4 linked regions of the Macaca fascicularis genome follow. The protein of the gene in region 1 interacts with the protein of each later gene in a pairwise test. Links are inferred from orthologs where the notes say so. Each region holds a gene or a part of one and is shown in the gene's direction. Other genes may lie near its edges. The genes, in order: GRN, GLRX3, ARFGAP1 and FAM76B.

Region 1 (4,103 bases):
GCAGCTCCTGAAGCCCACTGGCATTGAACATAGCATTCAATCCCTGCCAAGCCTGCCCTTCCCATCTGGTTTCCCAAGGCTCTTCCCAACACCACCTCCTCCACCTGCCAGTTAAAATCTTCCCAAACTCAGCTCAAGGAGATGCTTCTAAGGTGGAATGAAATATCTTCTTCCCCACCTGTAGACAATCTACTTCCTCTCCCACACCTGGCAACTGGCGCACGACCTTGTATATTAAATTAGATTCAGCCTGAGACTGTCTCCCACCAATCCCTGCCCCCTGTCCTGCTGAGCACCTGGAGGAAAGGGCTTTTGGGCTGTTTATCTTTGTCCTGGAAACCATCCTTCAACTCACTCTGGGCCCTGCCTAGCATGTCATCCGAGTTTGCAGAATAGAGCAGGACAGGACAGGGCAGGATAGGATAGGATAGGAGCGAGTGAGCCCGGTAGCTCACACCTGTAATCCCAGTTCCTCGGGGGCCTGCGGTAGGAGAATCGCTTTGGGAGCAGGAGTTGCAGGCCGCAGTGAGCTATGATCAGCTTGGGCGACCGAGCGAGACCCTTTCTCTAAAACAAACACACAAGGTCGGGTGCGGTGGCTTAGGCCTGTAATCCCAGCGCTTTGGGAGGCCGAGGCGGGCGGATCACGAGGTCAAGAGATCAAGACCATCCTGGCCAACATGGTGAAACCCCGTCTCTACTAAAAATACAAAAATTAGCTGGACTTGGTGGCGCGCGCCTGTAGTCCCAACTATTCGGGAGACTGAGGCAGGAGAATCGCTTGAACCCGGGAGGCAGAGGTTGCAGTGAGCCGAGATCGTGCCACTGCACTCCAGCTTGGCGACAGAGTGAGACTCCATCTCAAAACAAACAAACAAACAAAAGAATAGAAAGAGGAGCACAAATATTCCCAATTCATAACAGTCCCTCGCACTGTCAATGCCCCAGACACGCGCTATCATCTCTAGCAAACTCCCCCAGGCACCTGCAGGATGGGTGAAGGAAGGCGACGAGCACCAGCTGCCCTGCTGAGGCTGGCCCGGCGTCACATGATTTTCCAATCACATGATCCCTAGAAATGGGGTGTAGGGCGAGAGGAAGCGGGGAGGAGAGTGATTTGAGTAGAAAAGAAACACAGCATTCCAGGCTGGCCCCACCTCCACATTGATAAGTAGCCAATGGGAGTGCGGCAGCCCTGATCCCTGGCCAATGGAAACTGAGGTAGGCGGGTCACCGCGCTGGGATCTGTAGTCTGAGCGCTGCCCGGTTGCTGCTGCCCAGGGACCGCGGACCCGGACGCAGGTAGGAGGGCGGCCGCGCAGACCTCTGGCCTGCTCCTGCCCAGGGGCCCGGCTAGGGCCATGTGAGCTTGAGGTTCCCCGGGAGTCTCAGCCGGAGACAAGACAAGAACCGCTTATTGAAACTCCTTGGGGGTTCTGATACACTAGAGGGAGTTTTATGGGAAAGAGGAAGCAGTAACTGCAGTGACCTCTGTTAGAAGGGGGCTTTCTACCTCCCCAGCATTCCCCCAAAGCAGGGACCACACCATTCTTGACTCAGCTCCACCCCTGTCGGTAGGTGCCGGCTTCTTTCCCTCTCGTGGTGGTGGTGGGTGGTTCCCGCGGCGGCCTGAAGCCGGAGGGGCGCGCGACCCTGGGCTGGGAGCTCCGAGGGCCTGGGAACGGGACCTGAAACCTTGGCTTCTCGAAGGTAGTAGGGACTTGGGAGTGGTGACTGAACCTGGTCTGGCTCCTCCTTACTTCCTCTTTTTGGGGGTGGGACGAGCTAACTTCCGCCTCTCCCAGCCACTTTTTCCTGCTCAGTTGCAGCTAGGCTGGCTCCCCTTTTGGGAATTTCCTCTCCCCTTGGCACTCGGAGTTGGGGGCTGCCACCTAGTGGAAGATAACGGAGCTAGGGTCTTGAAGAGGCTGCTGTCCCCTCTGGCTGTTTTGGCGGTGTAGGGTGGCGTGAGAGACTGCGACTCGCCTCCTCATCCCTGTTTCTGTATGTGTGTGCATGTATTCAGTAGAAGCATACACTATACTCCCTCAACTCAGGGTAAACAGGAGGGGCCATGCACAGGTAACTCACCAGAGAGCTGAACACTCCTGTGCAGACAGACTCCCCTTCCCAGCAAGCCAGGGCAGCGGACAGCCTGCTGAGAACACGCAGGAAGTAGGCGGTGCCAGCTGCAGGTGCTTTGCCTGGGAGCTGTGGGGCTGAGGAGAGGGTCCACTGTCCAGGACCAGTCAACTGCATCCTTATCTGTCCAGGAGGTGGCCTCTTCGGGATGCTGAGTTAGGGGAGGGGCACTTGAGGAAAGCCAATTGGAGCAGAGAGGATGTGAGTGACTGGGTGGGTGACATTTCCTGCCCTTCCCCCCTCCAATGATATCCACACAAGACTCGTGGGGGAACTGAGGCACAGACAGGGAGCAACTTCTCAGGCCCTCACAGTTGGCAATTCCAGGATTAGGACTCAAGTGCGATTTCCAGGCAGTCCCTGTTTCTGTGGTACCTGTTGCACCTATCCCCCTGGGGCGTAGGGGTCCATTCTCAGGCACTGCCCATTGTGCCACTAGTGATATTAACCCAGGTCCAATACGCTCTGGGGCCATCAAAGCCTGTCGTCACCATGACCTGATGTGTGACATGTTATCGGTGTCCCTTGGTATCTTCATGGAACTGGTTCCAGGACCCCAAAGTCTGGGTGCTCAAGTCCTTGATACAAAATGGTGTGATATTTGCATATAACCTATACATACTTTAAATCATTTCTAGATTACTTATGCCTAATACAATGGAAATGCCATGTTGGCTGGGCACGGTGGCTCATGCCTGTAATCCCCACACTTTGGGAGACTGTGGTGGGTGGATCACCTGAGGTCAGGAGTTCGAGACTGGCAGCCTGGCCAACATGGTGAAACCCCTATCTCTACTAAAAATACAAAAATTAGCCAGGTGTGGTAGCAGACTCAGGAGGCTGCTCAGGAAGCTGAGGCAGGAGAATTGCTTGAACCCGGGAGGCAGAGGTTGCAGTGAGCTGAGATTGCGCCACTGTACTACAGCCTGGGCGTCAGAGCAAGACTCCGTCTCAAAAAAAAAAAGAAAAGAAAAGAAAAGAAAAAGAGTGCAGCACACCAACATGGCACAAGTATACATATATAACAAACCTGCACGTTATGCACATGTACCCTACAACTTAAAGTATAATAATAATAAATAAATTTAAAAAAAGAAAAGAAAAAGAAATGCCATGTAAATAGTTGTGATCCTGAATTGTTTAGGGAATAATAAGAAAGAACAATCTGTACATGTTCAGTATAGATGCACCCATCCTAAGCCTAACTACATAGTATACCTCAGCAACAATGTAACATTTTCTGGGGTTTTTGTTTTGTTTTGTGAGACGGAATCTCAGTCTCGCTCTATCACCCAGGCTGGAGTATGGTGGCACGATCTCCTCCACTCACTGCAACCCCCACCTCCTGGGCTCAAGCGTTTTCCTGCCTCAGCCTCTTGAGTAGCTGGGATTACAGGTGTGCACTACCACGCATGGCTAATTTTTGTATTTTTAGTAGAGATGGGGGTTTCACCATGTTGGTCAGGCTGGTCTCGAACTCCTGACCTCGTGATCCGCCCACTTAGGCCTCCCAAAGTGCTGGGATTAGAGGTGTGAGCCACCACACCCAATATTTTTTGATCTCTGGTTGGATACGGAGGGCTGACTGTACTTAACATCTCTGAGCTTCAGTTTCTTCCTTTGAAAGTAAAAGTGGCTGGGCGTGGTGGCTCACGCCTGTAATCCCAGCACTCTGGGAGGCCGAGGTGGGTGGATCACGAGGTCAGGAGATCGAGACCATCCTGGCTAACACAGTGAAACCCCGTCTCTACTAAAATACAAAAAATTAGCCGAGCGTGCTGGCAGGCGCCTGTAGTCCCAGCTACTCAGGAGGCTGAGGCAGGAGAATGGCGTGAACCCAGGAGGTGGAGCTTGCAGTGAGCTGAGATAGCACCACTGCACTCCAGCCTGGGAGACAGGGAGAGTCCGTCTCAAACAAACAAACAAAAAAGTAAAGGTGAGGCCAGGTGTGGTGACTCAAG
Region 2 (4,054 bases), on another chromosome or scaffold:
GAGATTACTCAGGCCAGAAAGTGTGTGGGAAGCATGGGGATACAGAGTACGCCACATGGAGAGCCCAAATCAGGGGGATTCCCAAGGGAGAAAGACAAGCCAGGGACCACTTGAGGAGGCCAGGGAGGAGGAATGCAGGGATCTTGGACCCATGCCCCCAACCCAGTGGACCCACCCAGCAGAATCCATTGTTCTGAGGTTACAATGGGTGATGGCTTGGTGGGGCTGCAATGAGTGGTGGCAGGTGCGGAGGCCAGGAGAGGAGGGACATGCTGTGGGCTCCAGGTTCAGGTCTGAATTCAGGACTGAGTTGGAAGCACCGGGTCTGTGTTGAAGTTCAAGATCTACCACTTCTGTTCCCAAAACCTCCCAGTTCTTCCTCACCTTTATGCAATTTCATTTTTGATAATTTCAGCTTCCTAAATGTACATATCTGATTTCACTTGCACTCACGTCTCACCCCCACTCCTCCACCGGCCCCTTCTCACTATTGCAGACCCAGGAGACACAGGAAGTGCAAGGAAGGTCTGGAGCCCCAAAAGCCAGGAGCCTAAGGAGTCAAGTGCCCTGACAGCCAGGAACCCTGACAGCCAGGAGCCCCGACACCCAGGAACCCCAACAGCCAGAAGCCTCTACCACCAGGAGTACTGACAGCAAGGAACCCTGACACCCAGGAGCCCCTACTATAGCCAGAAAGCCAGGAACTCTAACACCCAGGAGCCCCTACAGCCAGGAACCCCGACATCCAGGGGTCCCGACAGCCAGAAGCCACTATAGCCAGGAGCGCCTACAGCCAGGAGCCCCTACAGCCAGGAACCCCGACATCCAGGGGTCCCGACAGCCAGGAGCCATTACAGCCAGGAACCCCTACAGCCAGGGGCCTGGACGGCCAGAAGCCACTATAGCCAGAAGCCCTTATAGGGCCAGGAGCGCCTACAGCCAGGAGCCACTACAGCCAGGGAGCCCCGACAGCCCTGACAGCCAGGAACCATGACAGCCATGAACTCCGGAAGCCAGGAGGTCCGCAGCGGAGTGCCCAGACCTGGCAGGGTCAGAGCCCCTCAGCGGGATCCAGAGCCACCCAGCGGGATTCAGCGCCCGCGGCCGAGGCCCTTTCTGGGATTTCTCAGGCTCTGTAGCGTCAGCGCAGGCAGGGGCGGGGCTTTCCCTCGCGCAGCCGCTAAGCTCTCCGCGGGCCCGCCTACATCCGGCCGCCGGCACGCGATTGCTTCTGTCTGGCGGCGGCAGCATGGCGGCGGGGGCGGCTGAGGCAGCTGTAGCGGCGCTGGAGGAGGTCGGCTCAGCCGGGCAGTTTGAGGAGCTGCTGCGCCTCAAAGCCAAGTAAGCGAGGCGGCGAGTGGCAGGAGTGAGGAGCCGGCGGGAGAGGCCGCGAGACCGGGCCGGGAGTGGCCGCGAGACCGGGCCGGTGTGGGGCGGCGGGTGGCCCAGCCCGGCTCCTTGGCGCCCGGCTCGCTTCGGCCTCGGGGGACCGGGCCCGGCCCAACCCGGGATTCCCCCGAGCCTCCGGCGCTGACTGGCCCGAACCGCGGGCTCCCCGCCCCGGAACAGCGAGCAGGGCTCGAGGCTTTTCTCGCAGCCCCGGCCCCGGCCCTCGCTCCGACCCCGACGGCTGTCCAAGCCCGGGGGACGCGACCTTCCCGTCCTCTGGCCTGGGCGGCCCCGCAGCGGGACGGAGGCGGTGACTCAGCCTTGCCGCAGCGGCGGGGCGGGGGACGGGGCGGTGCCGAGACCCCGGCCCACCGCGCCACGGAGCGGGGACCCATGGCTGCGGGCTCCACCTTTCCTGTGCCCGCCGGGAGGGAGCTGCAGACCCGTCGTCGGCCCATTCCTCTTCAGCCTCCCTTCAGGAACGCCCCTGTCGCAGGAAGAGCGGCTGGGGAAGGCCCCGCTGCATTAGCTAGGCCTGGCTGCCTTTTGAAGTCAGCCTTTAAAGTTTGTTGGTCAGCAGGTAGCCTCAGTCTTCAGACCGAACCTGTTGCCGGAGACAGAGGTTTCCTGTTCCATGAACTGGTGTAGTGAGAGTCTGTTCAGATTTGGCGCCGGTGTCAAGTCTTCCATCCCGGGAAGACAAAAGGAGATCCATAGGAATGCATAGAAAACGGTTTCTGGGTGGACTAGAAGCTCTGAACTGCAAGCATGCTTACGAGTAAATGCTTACTGGCGTGCGTGTTTGCGGGGAAAGGTCTGCGCGTGGACTCCCCGTGGTAATACCTCACATTGTAGACTACTCCAAGGACTGAGTTGTTCTCTTAGTTGTATTAATAGCGGTTGCTACGGGAGCTCTTCTGTCGGATTGCCTGGGATCCAGTCCCACCGCAGCCACTCACTAGCCGTGTAACCCCTGGGCACATTTCATACCCAAGCCTCAGTTTCCCAACGATGAAATAGATCAGCACCTATTAGTACCTCAGGGTTGTTGTGAGGGTTAAATGAGATGACGTATGTAAAATACAATTAATACAATGCCTAGTATGCAGGAAACACTCAGTAGATGTTGGCCCTTCGGTAGGAAGCAGAGTGGTTCATGGAATTCACAGGCAAAATATACTTTGTTTTGTTTTGTTTTTGAGACAGGGTCTGGCTCAGTCACCTAGGCTGCAGTGTAGGGGAGTGATCACGGCTCCCTGCAGCCTCAGCCTCCCAGGCTCAAGTGATCCACCCACCTCATCCTCGCATCTTAGCCTCTCGAGTAGCTGGGACCACAGGTGCTCACCACCACGCCCGGCTAATTTTTATATTTTTTTTGTAGAGACGAGGTCTCTCCGCGTTGCCCAGCCTTGTCTCGACCTTCTGGACTCAAGCGATCTATCCTCCTCAGCCTACTAAAGGGTTGGGATTACAGGTGTGAGCTACCACATCTGGCCAAAAATGCTTATTGATCCAGATTTTGTTTTGTTTTGTTTTCAAAACAGGCTGTTGCTCTGTTGCCCAGGCTGAGTGCAGTGGCGTGATCTCGGCTCACTGCAGCCTCTACCTCCTGGGTTCAGGCGATCCTCCCACCACAGCCTCCTGAGTAGCTGGGACTACACGTGCGGTCCACCACGCTGGGCTAATTTGTGTATTTTTCGTAGAGACAGGGTTTCTTTTTTTTTTTTTTTTGAGACGGAGTCTTGCTCTGTCACCCAGGCTGGAGTGCAGTGGCCGGATCTCAGTTCACTGCAAGCTCCGCCTCCCGGGTTTACGCCATTCTCCTGCCTCAGCCTCCCGAGTAGCTGGGACTACAGGCGCCCGCCACCTAGCCCGGCTAAGTTTTTTTTTTTTTTGTATTTTTAGTAGAGACGGGGTTTCACTGTGTTAGCCAGGATGGTCTCGATCTCCCGACCTCGTGATCCGCCCGTCTCGGCCTCCCAAAGTGCTGGGATTACAGGCTTGAGCCACCGCGCCCGGCGAGACAGGGTTTCTTCATGTTGCCCAGGCTGGTCTCTGGAACTCCTGAGCTCAAGTGATTCACCTGCCTCGGCCTTGTAAAGTATTGGGATTACAGGCTTGAGCCACCGTGACCAGCACTGTTGATCTAAATGGAGTGAAATTTTGCTGACTGAATTTGAATTAGAGGCAAGTAGTATACTCTGATTTTGCAATGGAGAGTGCAGGTGAGATGGGGTGTTGCCTTTGGAAAGGGGGAGGGGTGAGAGTTACTGACTAATGGTTAGAAATGCTTTATGGGGGTGATGAAATAACACAGCTCTTTAGGCATTTCAGGTTTACCTGGGAAATTGTTAAGGAAAAAAAGCAGGGATTGTCGGGGGGACATGTGACATTTACTCACTGATGGAAGCTGGGCTCTGACTCATCCAGTACAGATCAGCACAATCACGGGAGTCACCAGAAGTGACCTCTTGAAATGAGCAGGTGGTCTTGTGTGGACCTGCCCTAAGTAAACGTTTTGAATTTACCATCACCTGAAAAGACTGTTTTGTCTATGTGTTTTATATGTTTGTTTTAAATGCTTCATGTTTTAAAAAGTCCTTAAACTATCAAAATGGATAAAAGTTTTTTTTTTTTTTTTTTTTTTTTTTTGAGACAGTCTCTC
Region 3 (3,560 bases), on another chromosome or scaffold:
CTCCATCCTCTGCCTCACCCCCACAGCGGGCCTTGGAGCTGTGCCCAGAGGAGGCTCTGGTACGGGAATGATGCCCACTATCCTCGGGGGTCGAGAGCCCCGCCAGCTCCCTGCCTCCTTCGGGGCTTGACTGGGACAAGCAGGGCAGGCACCCCCGGGGCAGCGTGGGCGTCCTCAGGTCATGTTGCTATTTGTCAGCAGCGGCTGGCGGGGCCACGTCTGCAGACACCAGGCCTCGCAATGACGTGGGCTCTTGATGCTGGAATCCGTTTGGGGCCCCTGTAGGACTTTCTGGGGCTCAGCCTGACGGGTGTCCCCAGGCCCCTGTTACTTTGGATGCCCTCACGCTGGGGATTCCTGCACTCCTGAAGCTTTAAGCTTTAATCTCTGCCGCCCCCATTAATGCTGCCGTCTTAATCCGTGCAGGTGAAGGAGGGAAAGATTTTTGATGATGTATCCAGTGGGGTCTCTCAGTTGGCGTCCAAGGTAGGGAGCCTGCCGCATGTGCGGGCACAGTCAAAGCCAGTCTCCATATTCCACGGCCCTGGGCGTGAGAGCAGGGTGTGCCCCGTGCAGCCCCCAGCCTGCCTTGGCAGTGGCTGCTGTCCTCTTGAGATGGGAGGAGGGCTGCCCGGCCTGATGGCCCGAGGCATATGGAAACAGCTTGGCCCACTGCGGCCCGGTCAGCCACTAACTGCCACTTCTCCTGCTCTTACCTTGCTGCCACTGGCCTTTTCCTCGGTAAGTGCCAGCGCCGTCTTAGCTGCCATTGGTCTCACTGCTCTGCGGGCCATTCGGGGCGTGCATTTTGTCCTGTTTCCTGGCATGAGGTGCTCTGCAGACGGGGAGGGAAGAGCAGGTCTCGGTCCTCTCCCCCGAGCACGTGGTGGGAGCTCTCGAGGTCTGTGCCCGAGGCTGTCCTCACTGCCGTGTCCCGCATGCACCTGGTGCCACTGCGGCGTGGCTGTGCGTGTCTGTGTCTGTACGCGTGTGCGCGGCACTCCTTGTTTCTGGATGTTTCTGGATTTTACCCGGGTCTTTTCAGCGGGATGGCGTGTGCCAGCTTGCGTGTGGGGGCCTCCAAAAGCTGCCTGTGCCGCGACAGGGCCTTCCTAACCTCTCTTCCCATCGCCTTCCAGGTCCAGGGAGTCGGTAGTAAGGGATGGCGGGACGTCACCACCTTTTTTTCGGGGAAAGCAGAGGGCCCCTTGGACAGGTACGCTGTGTCCCCTCCTGGGCCTTGCGTCCCGCTCCCCTGCCTCGGCCACTCCTCCCATAGGCTGTCGGGGAGGTGGTCGGCATCGTTGCTGGGGAGGGGAGGGGGGCGCTGTGGAAGGCTCTCTGAGTGCTCTGCAGCTGCAGAGGCCTGTCCTCCCTCTCTGCCCTGACTGGGCTCCCCAGGCTAGGGTGGGAGGGAGGGTCTCACCCACACGCCCCCACGTAGGAGGAGCTGGCCCTACTCTGCTGTTCCTCTGTCTTCCAGACTCTGGGTGGGTGGAGCAGGTGGGGGGCCGGGGACAGGAGGGCTGGGGGCCCCAGAGACCTGTCCTGGCCCCCATGTCCAGCTCTGCCCTTAGCGCTGGGCACCCCAGGCATTTCTGCTGGAAGCTGGCTGCTTTTCTCGGCCTCTGACTCCAGCAGGGGAACCACAGGGGATCTCGTAGGGCCTGGCCTTGTGCTGTCTACTGAGAGGCCAATGCTGGTGGGCACAGATGCGCTGCCCCCTAGGTGGGCCCAAATTTTCCCTGAGACGCCCTTCTCTTCCCTCTGTGTGTGTGGTTTTTCAGTGATGTGATTGCAGCTGAGGACAGAGGGCAGGGCCTGGTTCGGGGCCGGCGTAGCGGAGGACAGAGGGCAGGGCCTGGTTCGGGGCCGGCGTAGCGGAGGACAGAGGGCAGGGCCTGGTTCGGGGCCGGCGTAGCGGAGGACAGAGGGCAGGGCCTGGTTCGGGGCCGGCGTAGCTGAGGACAGAGGGCAGGGCCTGGTTCGGGGCCGGCGTAGCGGAGGACAGGGCAGGGCCTGGTTCAGGCTGGCATAGCTGAGGGTATTGCTCAGAAGAGCCTGTGTCCCAGCTTGAGGGCGGTGCCCCTGCCCCTCCCCACTTGACTAAACCACTGTTTTATCGCAGCAGTTTGGAGCTGGTAGAAAAAGAAGTTTTTAGTAGAACTATCCTGCAGTTTGGGTGATTGATAGAGTGGGCCTTGGTTCTCCAGCTCCCCAGCAGTTTCCACTGCTATGAAGTGGGAGAAACAGCTCCCGCCTGGTGGGGCTGCTGTGGACCCCGAGCGCTGGCCTGGGAAGGTGGTCACTGTCCAGGTGCAGAGCTTTCGGGGGCACAGAATTCCCAGTGGTGGGCTAAGTAACAGTCATTCAGAATCCCCCTTCTGTCTCTTTAAAAGCCCCTCGGAGGGCCACAGTTACCAGAACAGCGGTCCGGACCACTTCCAAAACAGCACCATAGACCAGAGTTTCTGGGAGACCTTTGGAAGTGCTGAGCCCACCAAGGCCCGCAAGTCCCCAAGCAGCGACAGCTGGACGTGCGCGGACACCTCCACCGAGAGGAGGAGCTCGGACAGCTGGGAGGTGTGGGGCTCGGCCTCCACCAACAGGAACAGCAACAGCGACGGTGGGGAGGGCGGGGAGGGTGCCAAGAAGGCAGTGCCACTGGCCGTGCCCGCCGACGATGGCTGGGACAACCAGAACTGGTAGGGCCCACCGCGCCCCTGTCCCCAGCGCCCCCAGGCGACTTCATGTTTGCACTCTGCCCTCATCGTTCCTCCTCCTTTCATTTGACCCAAGAATCAGTGACTGCAGTGTGAGGACAGCGTCTCGGGAGGCAGGACCCCAGGGAGACTCAGGTTCTCACCGCCTGCCACGAGGGGTTCTCGGTGCGTGGGAGCGGCCTGCTCTCCAGCCTGGGCGGGGGCCATCCCGTCCTACACTCCCCTGGGCATTCTTGGACTCAAGGCAGGGGCTCTTCGTGGTTTGCTGGGAGGTGGGCTGCAGCACAGAGCCCTGTGACTGTTCACTACGCAGTATCTCGGGGCTGGGACCAGCCCCGTGCCGAGCTGTCAGCGACGTGAGGTGTCCCTTCTCCTTGAGATACTTAACTTTGGGTTTGCTCTAGTTCTTTCTTTTTGAAGAGAGTGACGGGAGTGGTAAAGATGGAAACGCTAAAAGCGATACTGGCGCTCACACTGCCGTCCGACCACCCTCGGCTCCCACGTCCACGCCTGCCTGGGCCTGTGCGGTCAAACCTGTGTCGGTCGTGACCCTCCGTGGCTTCCCTGCATCCGCACTGTCTAACCACCAAGTTCACCAGACACAGCCCCCACAATAGCCACACCCACACCTGAGCTGTTCTCAGTGCTGGGACTTGACCATCCTGGAACACCCTGGAAGAAAAAGGAGCGCAGGGTGGGCCCTCGGCCCTGAGGCAGGAGGGCACGACAGCGGTGTGGCCTGGCAGGAGAGCCCCGGGCTCAGGAGCTGAGCAGGGATGCCTGTGCGCGGTGCCTGGGGCTGCCCTACAGACTGGTGCCCGCCACGTGCCGACCCTC
Region 4 (4,041 bases), on another chromosome or scaffold:
TACGCCGAAAGGTGAATGAAGGATGGGGAACAGAGACGGCCAGTCTCCGTTCCAGTTTCACTGGAAGCCAGAGGGTGCAGTCTCGACAGAGGAACAGTGAATGGAAGCTTGGGGAGCGCGGGGCAATCTAGGCACTCCCGCCGTCCTCCGGAATTGACTCAGAAGCTGGACTGACAGAGCCCTGAAAGTGAGGAAACTCAAAGAGGCGCTTGGGACCGATGTGGGGACCACTCGCGCCAACTGCTGCTTACCGACAACTGGGAACCAGAAGCCGCAGAGACAGACGCCGCCGCCATCTTTCAGCCTGCCCAGGGGGGTCTCCGCACCTTGGGGGCGGTCTGGGTTCTCGTGCTCTTCTCCAAGACTCGGGAGCCGCCCACCAGGGGCGACCCTGGGCTGAACCCCTGATGGAAAAGGGCAACGGTGCTGGTGCTCGGCTTGGAAACCCCTGCCACACACCCCCTCAGAGCCGCCTACGCTCACACCGTACACAGAAAAGGCAACACGTCCTAACGGACGTCTTCCCTAGCCAATCAAAACAGCAGACGTCTTTTAGTAGCAGGAGAGAATCCGCCTCTTCCCTGGTGACGTCACAAGGTAGCGCGTAACTGGGCCTGCTGGGGGCCGACAACGCCGCGGGCTACTGGCCGGCTCTGCGGGGATTCTACGGTGGGGCGGGTCTCCTCCAGTAAGAAGCGTGGGCGAGTAGTGTTGTCGCCAGTGGCAACCGAACGGAGTAATGGAGATAAAACAAAAGCGAAGGCGAAGTTAAAGCACTCCACGAGTTCCCTCGGATTAAACGCAGGAGAGAGCGTGAGTTTGCCTCGGGGACGCCTCTCCAGGTGAAGTACTTACCTTTTGGCCAATAACAAATAGGATTAGGAGGGACTTAACGACTTAGTCCAATAGAAAGCAAGGATAAAAAAGTTGCGGCAGAGAACGAGCCTTTCGCCAACATTTGCCCAATTGGATTGGGGCGCTCTCACCCAAACCTGGGACTGGCTGTTAGAAATAGCCGCGACCGCAGACCTTTGGGCGGGGCAGGTTCAAAGCGGATTTCGCGCGCTGAGAGCTCCGGGCTCTCATTGGCCGGCGACATCCTCCCTTTGTGGGCGCTCCAGGCGTCGCGGAAGTTGGAAGTTGGGAGGAGCCACCGAGTGACGCGTGGCCTCCGCAGCCAATCAGGGATGGGGAAGGGAGGCCGAGAAGGAAGCGGATCCGCGGTCGCGCAGCTAAACAGCAACCCCTACCCGCTTCGTCTCCCTCCGCCGCTATCGGGGCCTAAGCGGGAGCGGCTGGCACGGCGTCACTGGGTGGGCTGGGGCGGAAGTGGAGGCGGAGGGAGACGGTGGCGTCGTCCGCGGGGCCCTGGGCTCTGGCGGCGAGGCCCTGGTGGGCGCGAGGCAGGGGGAGGGGGAGGAGGAGGAGCCCGCGGCCCGGGCGGCGGCGGCGGGTCTCGAGTTCTCCGTAGGGCCCCGCCTCGGAGCGGGCGGCGGCGGAGGAGGAGACTGAGGAGCAGGATGGCGGCCTCGGCCCTATACGCCTGCACCAAGTGTACCCAACGCTATCCCTTCGAGGAGCTCTCCCAGGGCCAGCAGCTCTGCAAGGTCCGTGGCCTCCGGGAGGAGGGCGGGATGGATGTCCTCGGTCGTAGCCGGAGGGGGCCGGGTAGCCGCTGCACTGCAGCCCCTCTCTCTTTGCCGGCGCCTCGGGGGTTTGGGAGTCTGGTGTCCCCGCCTCCCCACTCGGGGACCCCTTTTTCTGGGGGCTTGAACATCAGCTGGGAACGGCCCCTGAGAGGGAGGCAGAATCGTGCCCTCTTCCAGGCGGCCCGGGCGGGTGCCGAACCCCGTCAGCGTCTGAGGGGTCTCAGAGGTGGGGTTGAGTGAGGCAGCCACCTGTCTATACCGCAGAGACCCAGGGGTGGAGATGTTTTCATCTCGGTTTTCTGCCTAGTCTGTCCTCTTCTTCCACCAGGAGGCAGGGGACGATTTTTGCACTTTCTTGCTAGGAACCCGAAGCCGCAAAGCTGATGGCATCCTTCTTCCCTGTCCAGGAAAGCGAAGCGACTGGTTTGGGAACAGAATGCTCTGATTTGGAGCTCCTCCCATCCCATTAAAGCCAGGATGCTGTCTGTGAGCAACGGTGCAAAATAATAAGTAGTTTCACATTTAACCAATCCTTGAAATCGGCCCTGACAGCTTTCTTAATTTGTCTGTAATATATCCCACGTCTACTAAAGACAAAGACACCTATGCCTTCCCTGAGGAATTATATTGTGATTGGCCACTTATATGATAAAGCATCCAGTTCCTTACGTTGGGGCCAGGTTTTATCAATATTTTAGACATTTAACTAGGTTGGGTAAACAATTTTCTACCAGAAAAGTGACATTTGGGACTTTCAGATAGATACCGACTAATGTATTGTCTTATTACAGGAATGTCGGATTGCACATCCTATTGTAAAATGTACTTACTGCAGATCAGAATTTCAACAAGAGAGGTTTGTATACTGAACAGTTTTTGACTGTTAAAGACAAGTGTTGTCTGTATGGAATATTTGGGGGTTGTAATCCCATATTTTTGTGAAAGTATTTTTAAAAAATGGTTTAGCCCCAGAAATTTTAAGTTGTAAACCTTTTATACATGGTGGGAGAGAATGTTGCCAGAAAAACCAGGGGTTGTTAATTTACCGTTACACTTTATATGAGACAGAATAAATTACTATGTGGAAAATGTACAGCCTTGCTAATGAAAATGCAAATGTAAACAGTTACTGTTACGCTAAAAAAAAAAGGTAAAGCCTTAATGGACCTGAGGAAAAGTCTGTAGTGTTACCAACTGCCGTCCAAGGGTGAAATGTAGTAATTTGTTACATGGAAGAGGAGTAGTACGTAACATTTTTAACAGTTACTTCCGCTCTGAGAGTATATACAGAAAGTAGCCTCAGAAAAGAACAAATAATTTCTTCTTAAATAGGTGTGGGCATTATAATGTTGGACAATAGCCAAGTGGAGGGTTAGGTAGGCAGTGGTATTGTAATGCTGTGCATTAATAGTGGCAAGTGTGAAGATTTTGGAGCTATATAGGAAACATTGTGATGTTTTGTGTACAAAAAGAAATACACAATAAAAATGTATAAAAATATTTGTCTTAAGTTAATTTGGGTAAAACAACTCTGAAAAGATCCTTGTGTTTTTGAGAAAAATCCGTGGTCCATATTAGAGTAAGTTTTAAGTACTACAAATCTTTGACTCATTTTATTTTGACATTGTGCTAATTGCTTTAGAATGCTACATAAACATGATCTATATACAATTTCTTTTTCAGCAAAACTAACACAATTTGTAAGAAGTGTGCTCAAAATGTGAAGCAATTTGGGACGGTAAGTATGTCATGTTTTCATGTCATTGTTACCAGTTAATATTTTTCACAAAGCTGGACCTTTTAAAAAGTACATACTGCTGGCCGGGCGCAGTGGCTCACGCCTGTAATCTATCACTTTGGGAGGCCAAGGCAGGCAGATCACGAGGTCAGGAGATCGAGACCATCCTGGCTAACACAGTGAAACCCCGTCTCTACTGAAAAAAAAAAAAAAAAAAAAAATTAGCCGGGCATGGTCGTGGGCGCCTGTAGTCCCAGCTACTCCAGAGGTTGAGGCAGGAGAATGGCGTGAACTCGAGAGGCGGAGTTTGCAATGAGCCGAGATCCTGCCACTGCATTCCAGCCTGGGCAACAGAGCAAGACCCCGTCTCAAAAAAAAAAAAAAAAGATGTACTGCTGTGCTCTTATGTATTTCAACATACCATATTTTATGAAAGAAATCTTCCATAGATATTTTGATGGAAAGGTGACAACATTTAAAAACAGTCAAATTATATGCCTGTTTTACATGTATTGAATATCAGTGTGAAATTTGTGAAGCTATTCTTTAAAGATTCAAATATAGCAAATTCTTGGTTATGGAGAGCTTATCCATGAAGTTTGCGTGATCAGACTTTAGCCCACTTCAGAACGACCTCTTCAGAACTATTTTTAT

What was found.
Region 2: the proteins of GRN (region 1) and GLRX3 interact in binary tests that used the Homo sapiens proteins (3 or more experiments, as listed by UniProt). The link is inferred for Macaca fascicularis from reciprocal best matches to the Homo sapiens genes GRN and GLRX3.
Region 3: the proteins of GRN (region 1) and ARFGAP1 interact in binary tests that used the Homo sapiens proteins (3 or more experiments, as listed by UniProt). The two-hybrid records come from large-scale screens. The link is inferred for Macaca fascicularis from reciprocal best matches to the Homo sapiens genes GRN and ARFGAP1.
Region 4: the proteins of GRN (region 1) and FAM76B interact in binary tests that used the Homo sapiens proteins (3 or more experiments, as listed by UniProt). The link is inferred for Macaca fascicularis from reciprocal best matches to the Homo sapiens genes GRN and FAM76B.

The regions. Positions count from the first base shown.
Region 1 is NC_088390.1:65,406,477-65,410,579, forward strand, and holds the start of GRN (progranulin), read left to right. Parts: upstream 1-1,269; 5' UTR 1,270-1,302; exon of another isoform or gene 1,303-1,710; intron 1,711-4,103. UniProt on the Homo sapiens protein: Secreted protein that acts as a key regulator of lysosomal function and as a growth factor involved in inflammation, wound healing and cell proliferation. Regulates protein trafficking to lysosomes, and also the activity of lysosomal enzymes.
Region 2 is NC_088383.1:139,103,855-139,107,908, forward strand, and holds the start of GLRX3 (glutaredoxin-3), read left to right. Parts: upstream 1-1,227; 5' UTR 1,228-1,249; coding exon 1,250-1,341; intron 1,342-4,054. UniProt on the Homo sapiens protein: Together with BOLA2, acts as a cytosolic iron-sulfur (Fe-S) cluster assembly factor that facilitates [2Fe-2S] cluster insertion into a subset of cytosolic proteins.
Region 3 is NC_088384.1:119,400,641-119,404,200, forward strand, and holds part of ARFGAP1 (ADP-ribosylation factor GTPase-activating protein 1), read left to right. Parts: intron 1-426; coding exon 427-741; intron 742-1,139; coding exon 1,140-1,216; intron 1,217-2,399; coding exon 2,400-2,709; 3' UTR 2,710-3,560. UniProt on the Homo sapiens protein: GTPase-activating protein (GAP) for the ADP ribosylation factor 1 (ARF1). Involved in membrane trafficking and /or vesicle transport.
Region 4 is NC_088388.1:94,801,364-94,805,404, reverse strand, and holds the start of FAM76B (protein FAM76B), read left to right. Parts: upstream 1-1,214; 5' UTR 1,215-1,520; coding exon 1,521-1,607; intron 1,608-2,011; exon of another isoform or gene 2,012-2,126; coding exon of another isoform or gene 2,127-2,135; intron 2,136-2,440; coding exon 2,441-2,505; intron 2,506-3,332; coding exon 3,333-3,387; intron 3,388-4,041. Other genes in the region: CEP57 (centrosomal protein of 57 kDa), read right to left, coding at 252-296. UniProt on the Homo sapiens protein: Negatively regulates the NF-kappa-B-mediated inflammatory pathway by preventing the translocation of HNRNPA2B1 from the nucleus to the cytoplasm.